Linked DNA regions of Saccharomyces cerevisiae S288C. The gene in region 1 interacts genetically with each later gene. Each region holds a gene or a part of one and is shown in the gene's direction. Other genes may lie near its edges.

The links.
Region 2: mutations in CBS1 (region 1) and CLU1 together harm fitness more than expected from each alone (negative genetic interaction), as found in Saccharomyces cerevisiae (one large-scale study listed by BioGRID).
Region 3: mutations in CBS1 (region 1) and SPR2 together harm fitness more than expected from each alone (negative genetic interaction), as found in Saccharomyces cerevisiae (one large-scale study listed by BioGRID).

The regions. Positions count from the first base shown.
Region 1 is NC_001136.10:332,621-340,548, reverse strand, and holds CBS1 (Cbs1p), read left to right. Parts: upstream 1-6,738; coding exon 6,739-7,428; downstream 7,429-7,928. Other genes in the region: SYO1 (Syo1p), read left to right, coding at 415-2,277; E2 SUMO-conjugating protein UBC9, read right to left, coding at 2,479-2,914, 3,025-3,062; PEX19 (Pex19p), read left to right, coding at 3,272-4,300; isocitrate dehydrogenase (NADP(+)) IDP1, read right to left, coding at 4,428-5,714; COX9 (cytochrome c oxidase subunit VIIa), read left to right, coding at 6,153-6,332; BDF2 (Bdf2p), read right to left, coding at 7,609-7,928. UniProt on the Saccharomyces cerevisiae protein: mRNA-specific translational activator of cytochrome b.
Region 2 is NC_001145.3:289,350-296,910, forward strand, and holds CLU1 (translation initiation factor 3 subunit CLU1), read left to right. Parts: upstream 1-1,784; coding exon 1,785-5,618; downstream 5,619-7,561. Other genes in the region: hexose transporter HXT2, read left to right, coding at 1-355; SEC59 (dolichol kinase), read right to left, coding at 5,830-7,389. UniProt on the Saccharomyces cerevisiae protein: mRNA-binding protein involved in proper cytoplasmic distribution of mitochondria.
Region 3 is NC_001147.6:743,650-747,862, reverse strand, and holds SPR2 (Spr2p), read left to right. Parts: upstream 1-1,559; coding exon 1,560-2,270; downstream 2,271-4,213. Other genes in the region: RUD3 (Rud3p), read left to right, coding at 1-338; AIM41 (Aim41p), read left to right, coding at 581-1,138; SAS5 (Sas5p), read left to right, coding at 2,582-3,328; STE4 (G protein subunit beta), read right to left, coding at 3,682-4,213.

The DNA.
Region 1 (7,928 bases):
TTTTGTATAAGTTATCATAATTATTTTTGGTATTACTATATTATGTTTATCATTAAATATTGGCGATATAATAAAAAATTCTAGTCACAAGTACTGTTGGCTTAATAAGTTTGCCAACTAATGTTTAGTGATGATGATGAAATAGTACTGCCCTGTTTATTGCCATTTTTCTATGCAAAATGTACAATAATCATTTAGAACGAGTAGTTCTCTTATTCAGAAAATTTTTCATCTCATCTCATCTCATCTCATCTCATCTCATCCATTTATCTACCATTGTTTAAAGGTCTATGTATTGTAAAATTAAATCTTCGTAGCAACGCCCCCATTATTCTTACTGGATTCCAAGTACTTTCGATCAGATTTTCGAGTTTGTACAAGGACGCAGAAATCGACTTTTTAGGGCAGAAAAGAATGGGCAGATCAAAGAAAAGATCAAGAGCATCTTCGTCTCGATTAAATCCACTACGCAAAGCTGGGTCAAATGACAATAATAAAGATACCAACGTCGTTAATAAAAAACTCCAGCCGCTATTGCAGAATTTGTCAAGTGTGGTGCCTAATGATAGAAGTATTGCTTTGAGTTCCATCAGTGTTCTTTGTGAGGATGCACATATGAGACAACTTTTACTGAAAGAGAAATTAGTTCCTATCATTTTGAATAAATTGCTGAACGATTCTAATTCGGACATAGTTGTGGAGTCGTTCGGCTTATTAAGGAACTTGTCTTTGGAAGAAGGTTATGATGTGTCAATCTACCTTTGGAGATCTGATATATGGACAAGTATAACAAGTAATTTTGGCAGGATTGTTGAATCGTTATCCGCTTTGCAAGCAGCAGAACAGCAACCGCAGCTAAAACCTGCAGGAAAATCCAAAATAGAATCTAAAAGGTTGTTATTCGATTTTGCCGATAACTTACTGTCGTTAGTGGTGGCTCTGTCTAATGGATCCGACGATATTCTTAATGAGATATTAACGGAAAGTAAAATAAATGAAATTTTTCAGGTCATTTCACAGCTATTAAAATATGGTGTCGAGAAACTGCCAATTAATCTGTTCAATACCACTCTTGATCTCATTTATGATTTGAGTTCCGAATCATTTGAATTTATTGATCATGTTTCCAACAATGAACTTCTATCACAGTTCTTAAATGGGCTATCTCCGGCTTTACATCCACAAGCTAATGAATTAACAAAAGTTCTAATTGAAGGTATCCATTGCCAATTCCTTGACATGAAAATAACTTATGATCAATGTAACAAAATGATCCACTCTGTATGTCATTCCATTAATAACATTGATCCAGTACAGTTAGTTAATGACATTAATAACCCTGTAGAAATTGGACCTGCTACTAGTAAAGATGAAAGCAGTAAGGTTATAACTAAGATCAAGGATTACAATGCGAAACGTAACGAATCCATGATAAAATTGCAAAGCATTGAAATAGCAATTGATCTTATCACCGCAATCATTGAGATAGTTGCATCCAAATATGAATCACCAGAATCACAGGAAGTAGCAATTCCAGAGGAGCTAATCAATACCTTAACAAATTTCTTACCTCACGTTTTCATGATTTTGAAAGATACCTTCACCTCGCGAATATTGATCGGATGGAACAATCTGATCTGGCTCTTTGTGTCTCTATCTCTAACAGAGCTCTCTGGAGAGTTGTTAACCACCTTATGGAGTTATGTTACACAGTTGGACAGCCAAGATGATTTGAGTATTAAAATAGGAAGAATGGGCTGTATTTGGGCGCTTCTGAAACTCATCTTTCCTGATGGAGCGTTTGAAAGTGAGAATCGAGCATTGATCAATGTCCAAATGCTGAACAATTCAGGATTCGCTAGGGGAATTATTGAAGAGTTCCAAAATAATAATGACCTTGAGTTACAACAAAAATGTATTAATGTACTAAGCACATATGCTATGATTCAGGGACAAATTGATGCAAATAAGGAGATTGGGCAGTTCTTCATACAAACTTTAACACAGTTGAATGTTCGCCCTGAAATTTTGATAGAAATGACAAATTCGCTTTTCCAAATTTACGGGGATGCCTCTTACGACTATAATGAACCAATATTTGTAAGGGGTGGATTTTTATCTATTCTAAAAGACCAAGTTGTACCAAATTTGAGGCAGCAATTCAAAATGGTTGATAAAAACAAAAATCCCGAACTAAAAGAAAGATGCCATGATTGCTTTACTACGTTGGATAGTTTCATTCACTACAAAATGAATGAAAATTCTACTAACCAATAGATTTATTAAAGTGTATATAGTTGCCATACTTATAGAAAATGGTACAAAAAATATCTTTCTATTTACTTAGCATAAGAAACAAAGAGCAAAAAATTATTTTTGAGAATTTGTAAATAATGTTATTTTGCTCTATTTTTGTTACACAACGACATTAGTTAAATAAAGTACAAAAGGAGGAAGAATGGGAAAGATGGATTCCCTCTATTTAGAGTACTGTTTAGCTTGAAGCAAAACTTTCTTGTCATATTCCGCCTTATTTCTTGAAAATGATCTCCATGCAGGCTCTTGAGCAGGGGAATTTGGATTTGGAGAGTCTAAAAGATCCTGAACCCCAAGAACAATTTGTTTTAACGTGATGGCGGGTCTCCAATCTTGATCTTCATTTAAAATACTTAAACATATTGTGCCACTTGGATACACGTTTGGATGATAAAATCCGGCTGGAAATTTAACCTTTGGAGGTTTTGAAGGATATTCATTTGGATATTCGACTGTAATTGGGTACACACCACCCGCCCAGTTTGTACCTTCTTTGCCTGGGATACCAGCTTCCCATTTCTGTAAATCCATGGACCCATCAGCTTTCTTAACTGGTTTGGCATAAAATCCAAATGGATGATCCTTTCTCCATTTTTTTCTGTTATTCAAGTAAAACAAGTTAAGTTCATCGATTTGTTAGTATACCGCTGGATGAAATTGTGTATGCCTACAGAATGTAAGCATAAAAGGAGGAAAACTACTACTTACCTTTCTTCCTGAAGACGCTGTAGACACAAACTACTCATATTGCTTCCAAAAAATGGTGCCAGTGTGTGCTTATCCTATGCTAAATTTCTCTTCTTTTTTTAAATGTTTGTTATGGAGACAGGAATAATTTTTAATTTCCAGATGTTAAACGCGGTTTCTGAGAGATATAAAGTGAAGAAAGAATTACAAATTGTGGGAACCGAAGTATTGACGGAAAGAAGAAATGCCAAACATACAACACGAAGTAATGAATGAAAACGAGTACGATAATTTTGATGATTTGGATGACCTTTTAGATGAAGATCCCACTAAACTGGATGAAGCAGAGCCCGATGATGTGCAAGCGAAGGGTTCTGTGTACAACGATAGTGAAAACAAAGAGAAGAATGCCGAAAGTAAGGACAGTGATGGCGTACAGGTAGCTAATGAATCTGAAGAGGACCCAGAATTGAAAGAAATGATGGTAGATTTGCAAAATGAGTTCGCAAATTTGATGAAAAATAACGGTAACGAGAATAATGTGAAGACAGAAGATTTTAATAAACTGATTAGTGCTCTAGAAGAGGCAGCTAAAGTACCTCATCAACAGATGGAGCAAGGATGTAGTAGTTTGAAAAGTAACAGCACTGATAAAGGGACCGTGAATGGTAGCAATCCGGGATTTAAAAACATTGTTTCCAATACGCTAGACAGGTTAAAGGAAAATGGTAATAAAGTTGATACATCCCTAGCCGAAGAAACCAAGGAATCTCAACGCAGTGGCCAAAATAATAATATTGATGATATATTGTCACAATTATTAGATCAAATGGTAGCATCTGGTGGAAAAGAAAGTGCAGAAAATCAATTTGATCTAAAAGATGGGGAGATGGACGACGCAATAACAAAAATACTTGATCAAATGACGTCAAAAGAAGTATTATATGAGCCTATGAAAGAAATGCGTAGTGAGTTCGGTGTTTGGTTTCAAGAAAACGGTGAAAATGAAGAGCATAAGGAAAAGATAGGCACCTACAAGAGGCAATTTAATATCGTAGACGAAATTGTAAATATTTATGAATTGAAAGATTATGACGAGCTAAAGCATAAAGATCGTGTTACTGAACTTTTGGACGAATTAGAACAGCTTGGTGATAGCCCTATTAGAAGTGCGAACAGCCCCCTAAAACACGGTAATGAAGAAGAAGAACTCATGAAAATGTTGGAAATTGATGGTAATGATCCGAACTTGGGGAACCTTGATAAGGAATTAACCGACGGTTGCAAACAACAATAAGGTATATATATTTATGATAACAGTAAAAAAAAAAAAAAAAAAGTAGTTCATTATCCTAGAGCATAACTAAGTATAACACTTTAAAAAATGAAAAAAAAAAGTGGTAGATTGGGCTACGTAAATTCGATTACTCGATCGACTTGATTTCTTTTTGTAGTCTTTTTTCAACGGCATCCAAAAATTCTTCTGTGGTAACATAAGCAGATCTTTCGTTGTTACCGCAAGCCAAAGCCAAGTCCTTCGTCATGATACCGTCTTGCTGAACTGTGTTCAAAGTGGCGGATTCCAAAATATTGGCAAATTTACACAAAGCAGGAGTATTGTCCAATTCACCTCTCTTCAATAGACCTCTCGACCACGCGAAAATGGATGCAATGGAGTTTGTAGAAGTTTCTTCACCCTTTTGGTACTTTCTATAATGTCTTGTCACGGTACCATGAGCAGCTTCACTTTCGAAAGTTTTACCGTCTGGTGTAACTAAGATAGAAGTCATCAAACCTAAGGAGCCAAATCCTTGAGCGACGATGTCAGATTGGACATCACCGTCATAGTTCTTTAGCGCCATGATAAAGCCACCTTTAGATTTTATCATTTGAGCGACCATATCATCAATTAAACGGTGTTCATAGTGGATCCCTAGTTGTTCGAATTTGGATTTATATTGAGCTTCATAAACTTCTTGGAAAATGTCTTTGAACCGACCGTCATATTTCTTCAAAATAGTGTTCTTGGTTGACAAGAAAAGATTTAGCTTTTTGTCAATGGCCAGCTTGAAAGACGAATGAGCAAACCCTTCGATGGATTCGTCAGTATTGTACATGGCCATGGCCACACCACTGCCCTTGTAGTCATACACTTTCAAAGTTTGTGGTTGAGCAGTCGTAGGGTCGGATGGCTTGTAGACCAGTTCCAAAGATCCTGGGCCTGGGATCAGTGTGTCCGTAGCTTTATATTGATCACCGTGGGCGTGTCTTCCAATAATGATTGGTTTTTCCCAACGTGGGACCAGTCTAGGAATTCTAGGAATCACAATGGGCTCTCTGAACACTGTACCGCCGAGAATGTTTCTGATGGTACCATTAGGAGATTTCCACATCTTGTGCAGGTTGAATTCCTTCACACGAGCTTCATCAGGAGTGATGGTGGCACATTTGATACCAACACCATACTTCTTGATCGCCTCAGCAGCATCCTGAGTAATCTTGTCGGAGGTGGCGTCACGAGATTCGACAGATAAGTCGTAGTACTTCAAATCTACGTCCAAGTAGGGTAGAATCAATTTCTTCTTGATCTTATCCCAAATGATACGGGTCATTTCATCACCGTCCAACTCGACAACGGGTTGTTTGACCTTAATCTTACTGAAAGCAGCAAGGCGAGAGGTGGAAAATAATCTTCTAGATAACATACTCATGCTGGGCGATCTTCCTTGTGCGTCTGTTGTCTCACAATTGCTTGAAGGAAGATTTCATAAGATCATATGAGTCCCTCTTTATATGGGCAAGTGGAATTATGTGAGTCAAAATCCGCGCGTGACCCGTAAAGCGTTATCAGAAGGTGCAAACGGTGCTATTTAGCTCATAAAAGGAATGATTCAAGCTCTTTTGGATTGTAAGACACCTTTATTTAGTCCAAGATCATTGCAGACCCTTGTTATGGTCTTTAGCAGAGTCCTCCTCTATATCTCTTCATTTACTGCAACCTGATTGGCCCGCTACCACGATGCCCGCTTTGTTCCTGTGGTATTAAAAGAATCGATGAAAGAGACTCTTATCTTCAGGGAAAATTAGGACCGAGAATTAGAGCAAGCAAGATATTTGCAAACTACTAACTACAAGCGACTTACACAGACATGACTATTGCTCCAATTACTGGTACGATCAAGAGAAGAGTCATCATGGACATCGTCCTCGGGTTCTCCCTCGGGGGTGTCATGGCCTCTTACTGGTGGTGGGGATTCCACATGGATAAGATTAACAAGAGAGAGAAGTTCTACGCAGAGCTAGCTGAGAGGAAAAAGCAAGAGAACTGACCGAACCTGACCACTATTGTTTTTCGCATTATATTCTTATTCCTATTTATTTATCTTTTATTTTTTTTCTGTGCTGGCCTCGATTGATTACTTTTGCAAGAGTTTGTAGGGAAGGAAAACAGACAAGTCATTCTTTTCTTTCTTTTTGACCTTTATCATAATTTTCTATTTGTATAATTTGAAAAAATAGTTTTACATATTTATGTAGTGTCAAACTAAAATAAAAACAAACTTAAAAAAAGAGTTATAGAAAATGTATGTGGAGAATAAGACAGGCAGACCTTGAGTGAACTAGGAATAGTACAATATTACCTTTAGGAGGTGCCACGTACTACCCCTTTGCTTCTATTCTTCTATGGTTTCTTTATAGCAGGATAAAAGAATAAATCAGATAATGAATCTCGACATGTTGAGGACAAAAGTGTTTGCAACTACTGTTGCTCGAATATCTGGGATTCGCAGGTATATTCCCATCAGAACTATAAACACGGTGACGAAAAAGAATATTAGTAAGATAGAAAAACTGTGTGAAGTCCTTGAAGTTAATCCTGACGGATATAAAGGAAAGGAACGCATACCGACTAAAGAACTAACTAAACTGCTATATACCACAAGCAGGAATATGTTGGTACGAGTACCAATGACTGGAGACTTGAGCACAGGAAATACATTTGAAACAAGAAACGAAACTTTACAAAAATTGGGTGAACAGCTCATTCACTTGGAAATTAATAAGATGCTTACAATAACATTTACGAATTTCAATCAGTTTAATATAATGAACAAAAACTTCAATTACATTCATAACTTAGATCGAGCTCGAGTAGTGAACATGGACTCGATAAGCTGGCTTATCAAGAATTCGTTGAAAATTAACCAATTAGCTCATTTGCGAATACCTGCCAATTTGCCGAAGGAAATGGGATTAACTTCCAGCTCTAATGATTTTCAGAACTTGAACGATTGGAAAGTGATCTTATCCTTTATTGGTTACCTGAAATTACTCGAAATTAAAAACGATAACAAAAAATTCATTGAATCAATTATAAAAACTATATGCATACCTCTAATTAATTACCATTTGCGTAAATCATAGTACAAAAGAAACGATGCCTTTTTGTCCGTTATCCCTTTGTTTTATTTACAATAAGTACGTAAAAACAATTATTTCTTATTTTTGTTTATAATGTTACAAATCTTTTTTATCCCCATTCTTCCCAATTTTTTTTTTCTTTTCTTTTTTTCCTTAATTAGGGCATGAAGCCCATTTCGATTGTTAATCACTGTCACTGTCGCTACTATCACTACTGTCTTCTTCAGAATCGGAATAATTATTATTATTTATGATTTCATCCTTTTCCAAAAATTTCAAGGTTTTCTTTTTCTTGTTAGTTGGCGCAGTCGAGTAGTTGCCACTTAGTTTTCTTTTGCTATTGTTGTTATTTTTTTTCTCAAAATATCTCTCATAAATTCTTGCAATAGTCGCTTCATCTAAAATATCCAAATCAATTTCAATTTCATCTTCATTGGAAGTTAGTATTTCATCTGCGGGTAATGAATTTTTAATGATACGAATCATCCCATTCATTTCTAAAT
Region 2 (7,561 bases), on another chromosome or scaffold:
CTGTTTATTCATTTTCTTCTTCGCTATTAGTTGGGCCCCAATTGCCTACGTTATTGTTGCCGAATCCTATCCTTTGCGTGTCAAAAATCGTGCTATGGCTATTGCTGTTGGTGCCAACTGGATTTGGGGTTTCTTGATTGGTTTCTTCACTCCCTTCATTACAAGTGCAATTGGATTTTCATACGGGTATGTCTTCATGGGCTGTTTGGTATTTTCATTCTTCTACGTGTTTTTCTTTGTCTGTGAAACCAAGGGCTTAACATTAGAGGAAGTTAATGAAATGTATGTTGAAGGTGTCAAACCATGGAAATCTGGTAGCTGGATCTCAAAAGAAAAAAGAGTTTCCGAGGAATAAGAGATTATACTTAAACTAGCACTGATTTTTTTAAGGCTAATGGCTACTAATACTTTAATAGATGATCTTCATACTTTTTTATTTAACGATTTTTAATGATGTTTTTATTTGTACCACTCATTTATCTAGATTTTTTTAATACTGATCAAATCTTACGGACTCGACGTTAAAAAGTTCCTACATACGTCTGGTACTTGAAACGCTGCTTCGAGGTATTGACACTATAAGAATACGATCCAAATACTTACACCGCATGTAAAAATATGCCGACAATATGAATACTTGTTGATGAATGATATTTGATTTTAATCCGGCAATTTACCTCCTTTATATAATCCAATAATTGTTGATAATTAGTGGTTAGGTTGCAGTACTAATAAGAATTAAGACAAATATTCTTCTACTATATAAAAGGTGCAAACAAAACACACGCCGATCGGCCATACTAAACAAGACCAACATAATAATGGTGGAACCATTTACTGTATTTTCAATGTAACGACTCATATCCTTATACATGAGACGTCAAGTTTCTCGTTGAAGTAATAATGAATCTTTAACTTTACTGTGCCACATATCACGTAATCATATATTGTTTTTCGCCTTCAAGCATCAATGGCGTATTGTGGCTGATTACTTCATATGATCACTAATTAACTAATTATGAAAAATAATAAATAAGTCACCAACCAAGCAAGGAAATTAGCTTCAAGTAAACAGTTGGTTCTTTCTGGCGAGTTAGAACAAAATTAAACAATAATCTATCGACTAGCATTCATATCACCAATATATCGTCATATACAGCGAAATGATTGCATTTACTGGATTGAATGGATACACTTTGAAGATGAACCTTTATCATAGTTGAAATGGGATAGCTGAGAAACTTGTGCATGATTTGATGATTGTTTGGGTTCAACCGTTGGGGATAAGGACTATAATATTAGGTACACAGAAATTCCAAATATATAAGTAGCAGTGCTTTATGAAACTATAATGTCAGAGTAGTTATGTAAAAATAGAACAATTGATATGATCGTTTCTTTAATAACTCGATAAGGAGTTCTCTACGAAAAATATCAACAGTGAAATATAATCCGATATAGTGTAACGGCTATCACATCACGCTTTCACCGTGGAGACCGGGGTTCGACTCCCCGTAGCGGAGTTTTCTTTTTGAAGAAATTTGAAAATTTTTTTCTTCACGTCGACCAAGGTTTTTTCCGGTCAAACATGGCCAATAAAACGGATACCATTTCTTGGAAATTATACGCTTCGAAGTATTCTCAAAAAAGGAAATTGTCTGCAGTGAAGATTGGATATAAGGTTCACTAAACACAGAGTAGTAATTGAGCTGTAATTTGTTTACAGAACGAATCAAATCAGCGTAGTGTTACAGTTTATCTGAGACTGCATATCTTTAATCTCTATGAGCGAGAAAAAAGAAGAAGTTAAAAACGCCACCGTTAAGGTGACTGTCAAACTTCCAAAAGAAGATAACCATTCGCATAATACGAAACATCTCAAAAAGACCCAAAGTTCAAAAAATAATGATATATCTTTTGAAATCGGCAAGGAATCCAAAATTCAAACTGTTCTAGATGTGTTGGCTATGATTCCAAGTTCCAAGTACCTGACAAACGTTGGGCTGAAAACAATTGAAGGTGACTCCCAGCTATCTGATGAAATGTCTATAAAGGAAATTGTTGGTGAGAAAAGCGAGTTAAAACTTCAATTGATACTGAAGCCATATAGCGCAAGAGAGGCTTTGAAACATGTGATTACTGTTCGCGATTTCATCGGATTTGCCCAAGAAACCTCAGATGGATTATCTGAATTTGCTATTTCTACTGGTTCAAGCTTTTCCTCGTTACCGTTGGGTCCTATCAAGGAACGCTCAAAACAAGAAGAAAAAGACGAGAAGAGCGATCCAGAAGAAAAGAAAAATACTTTCAAAGATGTGACTGACGAGGAAAAACTAAAATTTAACGAGATGGTTCACGAAGTGTTTTCTAGCTTTAAGAATTCTTCAATTAACAAACTTCTCACCTCTGAATCCAACATCATCACGCCGTGCGTCAGGTCTTTGAGTTTCGCACCTTACAATCCTGTACCTCCATTTTATAGAAGTAAAGGTCATCTATTTTACCTACAAATTGTCACTTTGGAAGGTGAGAGTTTCTATATCACTGCAATTCCATCTGGATTCTATGTCAATAAATCAAACTCAACTAAGTTCGATCCTTCTCCAAAAGAAAACACTGACGAGAACGCGCACTCATCCCTGATCTATTACAGTCTATTTGACTTGATTGCTTCTCGCTCTAAAAAATTCATTTCTCATGTCCAAGCATTCGAGAAAAAACTATCTGCTTTAGATTCTACAAGCTATGTAAGACCAAGCAATACTTTCTTGCATAAACCATGGTTTGTTTCTTCATTGCCACCAAATAACCCAGATTATCTGAGGTTACAAACTGCCGCCTTGGATACCACGCCAGAAAGAAACTTTAATGATGAATTTCAAGCCATTAAAGATTTGACTACGTCAACATTACAAGATCGTATTGAAATGGAAAGGTTGTTTTCTAAAGTTGTACATGAATTTTCTGTTACTGCAGCATCAGGCGCTATGTCAATTTTTTACAGTGATTTCGTTGCAATGAACCCAGAATCTCCAACTCGGGATCAAATTTTCTTAAAAGACAATATCTTTTATTCCTATGTTTCCGACGTTAGTGGCAATTATGAAGGGAAAGGTGGGGATGAAGCTGCAATCGCTGCTTCCAACCAAGACTTGAAGACAATCAATATTTTGAATCGCTTGCATATGCACGAAGTTCGTTATCTTTTAACAACTGTAGTCGAATTTGCAGGCAGAAGAATTTTGGCTCAAACTCCAGTACCTGGACTCTTAGCTACCATGGGTAACAAAATTGTAAAAGATGCTAATACCGGCGAAGAGGTTACCGAAGATTTTGTCAATGATATTAATGTAAAGTACGGCCTTGATGAAGGTTTGGGAAAGATTGTTTATGATGCTGACTTTGATTCTGTTTTAGAAAAAAAGTTTGTCAAGGCATTCCATTTGAAAAAGCACAAAGTCAACGGTACTGAATTAGCATTTTCATCGCAATCCAAGGGAATAGTTGGATTCGATAAGAGGCGCTATATTTTGGATTTAGCCAACACGTATCCCTTGGACATCAACTTTGCTAGACAAAACTTTGACAACATCGAAGAGACTGGAAACCGTTACCCACACAGGCAAACTTTGTTACGTCCGGAGTTAGTAGAAAAGTGGTGGAATAATAAAGTTGAGAAGGAAGGTGTTGAATTTGAAAAGGCCTATGAAGAAAATTTGTTTAGTTATAACCCTGATGCTTACCAGGTCGAAGGTATTGAGGACGCTAATGTTGACGAAATGTCGAACTACTTACAAAAAGAAGTTATTCCCAGCGTTATTCAAGATTATTTATCTGGAAATTTGAGCACTCCTTATAATGGTGAACATTTAGCCGATACTTTACATAAGAATGGTATCAACATGCGTTACTTGGGTAAAATTATCGAGCTTTCTCAAAAGGAATTGGACTCCCAAATTGTCCACTACGAACAAAATTTGAAAGCTGTTGAACAAGACAACAAAGAATATGAGGATTGGGAAAAATCTTATCTGCAAAAAATTGAGAACATGATTAAAGAGAGACAAGCCAAGATTAATAAGCTGGTACAAGAAGGCAAAGAGGTTCCAAAAGAACTAACTGAAGATTTGAAATTAAACGATGAAGAAATCAAAAAGCCCACCGATGGAAAACCTGTGGTCGTTGCCTATGATGAGCTAGTGCCATTAATTAAAATTTCCGAATTAGAAATTGTTTCGCGTTCTTTGAAACATGTTTTAAAAGATTTGAGTAAAGATGTTCCGGTCTTCTTGGTTCCATCACTGGTAGCATACGTTTTCAATATGTTAGTTGGTATCAACTACAATGCTGATCCGAAGCCAGAACCAGTCGACGAATTTTATCCAGTCAATAAGTGCTCATTTGCTAAATTAACACGCTCCGAATTGCTGGAAGCTGTCTCTAAACAAGCCTTCTTGCGTTTCCGTCATCAATTACCATCCAATTGGATCGAAGCTTACATGGAAAATCCTTTCACCCTCATTAGAAGTGTTTCTTACAAATTTGGTATTCAATTGCTCAATAAAGAATACTTCTTTACTAGAGAACAATTGGAAAGTTATAAGCAAAGTCTTGACAAGAAAATTAGGAACAAGTTTGTCGAACCACCAACTACCTTCAGTTTAAGCGATTTGACCATTATTCCACGTGTTAAGTTCTCAGAATATACTTCTTCAGTTAGTGAGGAATTTTGGGCTCAAGGTGCTTCTATGATCAACGAAGACAAACAAAGTGCTTTGACTTTACTCGCTCAATCAATTACAGTCTTAGAAGATGTTAACAATATTTTACATCCCGCCGTTGCTGAAAAGTACTTGTCATTATCTGCCATTTATAATAAGTTAGCATTATACCCTGAAGCTATCGCGTTCTGTCGTAAAGCATGTACTATTTATGAAAGAGTTAGCGGTATTGATTCTTTTGAAATGATGAGGGCTTTAACTAATTTAGCAATTCTAGAATTCTCTAATGAAAGTCCTTATAACGCTACTGTGGTTTATAATAGGCTCGCAGAAATCCTAAAAGTTTATGAGTTACCAAAAATCCATCACCCAGCCCCCACAAGCATTTTCAACCATTTGGAACAATTAGCCCTAGGTGTTCAAGATACCAAATTGGCTATTGAAGTCTTGGGACAACTAAGCTCCTATGTTGTGGAATTAGAAGGCAAAGATTCATTAGCATATGGCTATACCGAGTCACGTTTAGGTAATTTGTTTGCAGCATTGAAGGATTTCCACCGTGCATTAGAGCACATCACTGTAACCCAAGGGATTTTCACCAAGCAATTGGGTATGAATCACACGCACTCAGCCCAATCAAGACAGTGGGTTAATGGTTTAAGCTCATTAATAATGGATTTAAAACAAAAGAAGCAACTTGCACAAGATCAAATGTCGACAACGGGATCAAATTCAGCTGGCCATAAAAAAACCAATCACCGTCAAAAGAAGGATGACGTTAAACCTGAATTGGCTAACAAAAGTGTGGATGAGTTGTTAACATTTATAGAAGGCGATTCTTCCAACTCTAAGAGCAAAAACAAAACCAACAATAAAAAGAAGCATGGTAAGAAATAGAGAGCTAACTTAACAATCTCGTTTATTTATTATTTTTCTTTATATCTATAGCCCATACTTGTATATACTACGTGTAAGTACTAGATATAAAACGAAAAAAAAATACTTACAATTATTTTTTTTTCTTTACTGCTCTATTCTTTTCTTTATTCTATTCATAAATGCAAACAATTAGTTATGTAATTTTAAAAGTTGAAAATAATTGACTTTGTCAAAGAGTAATTAATTTTTCACAAATCATCATAAATGCAGGTATCAAAATATTGTCATTAAGCACACTATTACCTTCTAGCACTCCACTCAGTGTACAAAGGGTAAGCAATTGTAAAGTAGTTAGGTGGTTAAAAATTGCAGCTTTATCAAAACGTAACAATACCAAACAAACGATAAAACTCGTTACTATAAACGCAAGAGTTCCCTCTAAAGTTTTTTGTGTACCTTTCCAACGAATGCGGCCATACCTTTTACCAATAATAGATGCTAAGGAATCACCAATTCCCAATCCTATTAGACCCATTGGAGAGTTATTCATTAATAAAGGTGTTGATATTCCGAAGAGTAAATAAAGGTATGATATGATCAATGGCCCGCTGTGGTCCCTATCATCAGCAAACCTTCTTAGTTGTAATTCAATAGCAGATCCTAACGGCGGTAGGTTTTGAAATCTTATGTACTCAATTGATAAGAAGACTGGTATTGTTCCGGACAATGCAATTTTCACAAAGTTTGAATCCATTTGGAATGACGGTATTATGAGTAAGAAAATGATGAAATGCCACAATTTTCGGGAGGTGTTCAACGATAGACTGTCCTTCTCGATCAATATACTTGGTATGGACAGTATAAGAATTGAAGACCAAGCAAACAAAATCTTTTGACGAATAGTAGACTCTAAGATATATTTTACCAGCCAAAGTAGCGGATTTTCACCGTCTTCTAAATGAATGAAGGTATTGGCAAAAAGTGGAAGCCCGATGGCAAAGGATATTGACAGCATAAACGGTTTAAAGTGCATTACCTTTTTGAGCACATAGTTAATTGAAATTATTGTTGTGAGAGCAAGGATAATGCCCTTCAAAATTCTAAAATGTACTGTGCCAGCCTCTGAAACGTACAGAATATTGGTTAATAGGATACTAAAAAGATTAGAGTCGATATTATCTAAACTTTTCAATTGCCCAATATACTTCAAAATTAACGACAGTAAAGAATTTATTACTATGCTAATAATATTCTTTAACCTGTCACCAGCCTCAAAATTAAAAAATATGAGGCAGAGCTGTAAAATGATCACTACCAACTGAGTTCGCCATCTATATGAATTTAATACCGAAAGGATCAAAATAGTATTTATCACCGTAGATGATGTATCGAACAACAACGAAACCATAAACGGTAAATATAAACTGTAAATGGTATCGAACTTGGGTAGGCTTTTGTAACCATGTTGCCAATATTTTGTGAATATCAGACCAACCATTATCAAACACACCACAAAGACATTTACAAAGATTTGTTTATAAGATATATCAGCGGTAACAATGGACCACGGCTGAAGCCTTTCAACACAGTAAAAAAAAGTGCCCAACAATATAACAGTTTGAACAAAATTCGAATAAAAGCACTCAAAATCTCGAGAATTCCCGCCCACATCAAATTTACGAGTCCTCATATTGATTTTGCAGATCTCCTCAGTTGGCATTTGGCTTCCCTCAGTTTTCTGGGTTAGTTTAATTGTGGTAAAGGAAGCATGAGGTATTATAGCGACCATATAGGCAATGAACAGAATAACGACAGTTTATTGCCTCGAAAGGAGTCTGATTTACTAGCTAAATTCTAATATTTGGCTTACTACAAACTCTATCTTTCATAGAATACGTCCTTCGATACCATTTTCACCATCTTGACTAACAACGTGTACAACTCTTTTGAAAATTACGTGC
Region 3 (4,213 bases), on another chromosome or scaffold:
TCTTACAGATCGGAAAACTACGTCACGAAGCCATTATACTAAATGAGCATTTAACAAAGGCACTGGCCATGTTGAAGAAATCAAGCGATTCTGAATCCGTTGATAAAGAACTGATATCCAATCTATTGATATCTTTCGTGTCCATACCCAGAGCAGACCCAAGAAAGTTTGAAGTTCTTGAATTACTGTCCAATTTCTTAAACTGGGATGAAGATAAGAAACAACAGGCCGGCTTGATCTCGAATAATGAGTCTAAGAATTCAAGCGCTGTATCGAGAACGGAAAGCTTTGTATCGCTTTGGACCAACTACCTCGAGAAAGAGAGTGAGAAAGACTAATCGGGCAAACTAAGTCTAGTTCAGAAGAGCATACGTACTTAGTGTAGCATCACCCAATTTATACTCTATAAACGATAAATGATATAAATCACATCTACCCGGCATCTGGGACTTTTCGGGGGGAAGGACTCAAAATTAAAGGGAAGAAAAAGGATCTGCAACATTTTTTACAGAAGTAATGAACTGGAGAAAAAAGACTTTGGGATAAAGTTGGGGAATACAGCAAATAACACTATTCCAAGATGTTCAGACAATCAATTAGGCCACTTGTTTCAAATAGACTAACCTTCATTCGTTATAACAGTTCTCCAGCCTACACGGCTGCAGTCAGCCTATTGAAAGGAGATTTGAAAAAGGCTATGATTGCCAAGGATGAGATGAAGAAGACAGCAATCAGAAATATGTTATCTGCCATAAAAAACAAAGAAATTGCTTTAAAAGGGAAGAGCGCTGATGAGTACTCCCTGTACGACATGTACTCCAAGTTAATATCTCAAAGAAAGGACTCGATCAATGAGTTCCTTGCTAACAAGAGGGACGATCTGGTGGCCAAAGAGCAAGGTGAAATGGACATTATAAAGAAATATATGGACCAATTGCCAGTGTCTTCAGAGCTTGATATTGATCAAAATGTGAAGAAATTACTGGACGCCCTCAAAACAAAGGCAGGTGAAAAAAAAGTTCAAATTAAGGAAATCATGGGAGAAATCGACTGGAAGTCATTGCCAACAGAATGGAAGACATCTCCAACTGCCATCAAAAATAGCATTGTTAAGCAATTCAAGGAAATTTTCAAATGAGGTCCTTGTTTTCTGCGCGATGAATCACAGCCCAACCTTCAATAGTAAAAAAGAAGTAAAAATATTCGTCAAAAATTATGAAAGATACTTTGTTAATACATATCACAGTTACATATTAAAATAAAAAATTAATGCTCGCTTCCTTTCACCTTTTTTTTTTTTTTTGTGGCTACGTTTTTGTGTCCCATGGCAACCATGATATGTCTTGCTAACTGTCATTTGCCCTTTGTTTATAAAAGAGGCCGCTTTTGTATAATGTATAAATTATTCTTTTCCTGAAAGTATTTGTAGTTATCCAAGACAAAAAACCAGCAGCTAACATTGCTACACATAACTAAAGAACAACACCAAGCCAGTAACTAGCACGAAAGGAAGGAAAGTAAAGTTTTGTATCCCATTCTCTTTTTTGATCCTTATTGAAATGTTAGGATTATATCTATCCTCCCTTTTCTTCGCCTTTTTTATGGCACAAGTGTTTGCTACCAAATACTCAATTACTTTTACATCAGATGAGTATGAAGAAGATGAAACAGGACAAAATGAACCTGGTCCTTTAGTTTTCCATTTGGATAAAAACTCATTACCACCAGCTCTGCTAAATCAAATGGAGTTTAATCCATACTTAGTATTAGCAGATTTACCGGAGGAGCCGCGAGCTGTTGATTCTCAAGAACATACCGATACGGTCCTTGCTTCCAAATCTGTTATAGATTTTCTGTTGGAAGATCCTCTAACAATAGTGGAGCACAAAAAGTTTTCTCAAATTGAAAGTATTCTACATGAAATTATGGAAGACAGCATACAGAAGAAAGTCGGGGCAGACGAGGTATTTGAAGAGATTCCGAAACCGAAAATTTACGCGTATGAAGATATTTTAGTAACTAATATGAGCATCATCAATAATAGTGAAATGCCGACAAGTACTGCAACATTAACGAGCACCATTTCTTATTTATCTAGTACGACAAGTTTAGCTTTATCCACGGGTGTTACCAGCGTTGAGATTTTCCCAACAATCACCCCGGGAAATATTACAACTATTGGGGGATACGAAAATTCATCATCCTCCTTAATGCCGTCGATGGGAATCTTATCTTTTCTATTTGGTCTGTACTTGTTACTTCACCCTTAAAGTTCGGCAGTCATATAATCAAAGTTTTGATAGAGAAAGCATTTATATAACATATAAGCAAATGACCAATTAATGGTATTATTTAGTGACGTTTACAGCTGGCGCGGTCGCGTTACACGGGCAAGAAAAAATCAAAGCCACATCAATAAGTCATCACCATTAGAGAGTTGCACGACAACAAACTAGAACAGCCATGTTCGGGTGAAGAGGAAGTGCAGCAACTCAAGTTTTTCTACAGACTAAATTGTTTTTACTCTTGACTCCAAAAGCCCTTTTTTTTTTTTTTGGTGCCATATAATAGACGCTCTTTTATGGATCATTCAATAGAAGTCACTTTCAGAGTAAAAACACAACAGGTTATAATACCGGAACAAAACATCCGGGGAAATGAACTTCCCTTACGTCGGTGGCAGATGGAACTCCTCATGTTAGATGCAACAGGAAAGGAAGTGGAGCCTACCATCCTCTCTAAATGCATCTACCATTTGCACTCTAGCTTCAAACAGCCCAAAAGACGACTGAACTCGCTGCCATTTTTTATCAAGGAAACCGGTTGGGGAGAGTTTAACTTAAAAATAGAATGCTTTTTTATAGGTAACGCTGGAAAGTTTAGCATTGAACATGACTTAACGTTTGAAGATGATGCATATGCAGTTGACTATACCGTTGATGTGCCTCATGAATTCTCACATCTCAATAGTGAACTATCTAAATATTTTGATCTCCCGTGGAAAGTAGTGTCTCCGGAGGAAGAAATGTCTCTTCGTATAGCCGATTTGCCCTGGATTAAAAGCCTTGCGCTTATAGATGAGGATATGATGACGGACGTGGTTCAGATGATATTGAATGATCCTGCAGTACAGAGAGCAATTGAAAATCATCCCAGAAGGGAGCAGTTTTTTATGTTTATAACACAACTACCAGATGATTTGTTAATGAAAATTCAGGCATTTTTGAAATTACCGAACAAAAATTCCACTAAACAAGAAAGGACAAATTTTGGGTCAGACGCAATACATAAGGACGAGCCAGTGAAGGCTCATAACAAGCTAAAGTAGGGACAGCCATCATGAAATTAAACAATGCCTGAAAACATAGATGATTCTAGCAAGTTGGTCAAATAAGTCAGTGAATAATACTGTTTCCAAAACGATTGAAAAGAATTTTTGAGTGCATGACACTTTTGTTCGTTTTTGTTTCGTTTATCCAAAGAGAAAAAGGAAGCAAATGACAATGCTTTGAATTTTCATTGTTGAATGTTTTGACTTACTTTATTAAAGGACGTTTTTGCGCTTCCACAGAACTAATGTTACTGTTGTTATTCTATGTAAATATGGGATGGGTGTAGGTATGTATATTTATATAATAGCATCCATTGATAATTACTGCTCACAGTATTTCCAATTCGAAGCTATTGATAACCTGGAGACCATATTTTCATGGTTGAGTCCCATGAACCTGTACATACAGCTAACCCATCTGGACTCGAGCGCACACCAGTGACTCTGCCACCATGACCTTCTAATTTTCCAACAATCTCTCCTTTTAATACATCCCACACAACACAACCAATGTCTGTATAGCATGAGTACATCAATCTTCCAGATGCACTAAAATCTAAAGAAACAACGCCTTGGTTGTCTAGATAGCTTGAGCTTGTTGATTTTAAAGTTTGTGGCGATTGCGCGGTATTGTACTCCATGTTAGCTGCCATATAAGTAGGGGTAGGGGTACGTTCTTCATAACCTCGAAAAAGAGAAAAAGTAGCAATAGAACAGTCCGACCTTAAATCATACATATTTATCGCACCATTGTCACTTCCTGCAACAATCGACATCCCGTCTTTGAAAAAACGAAGTGCATTAATATCACTATCGTTAACGTAAAAGCTTTGTACAGCGGACGGAGATCTGCTATCCCATATGTAAGTATACCCGTCTGAT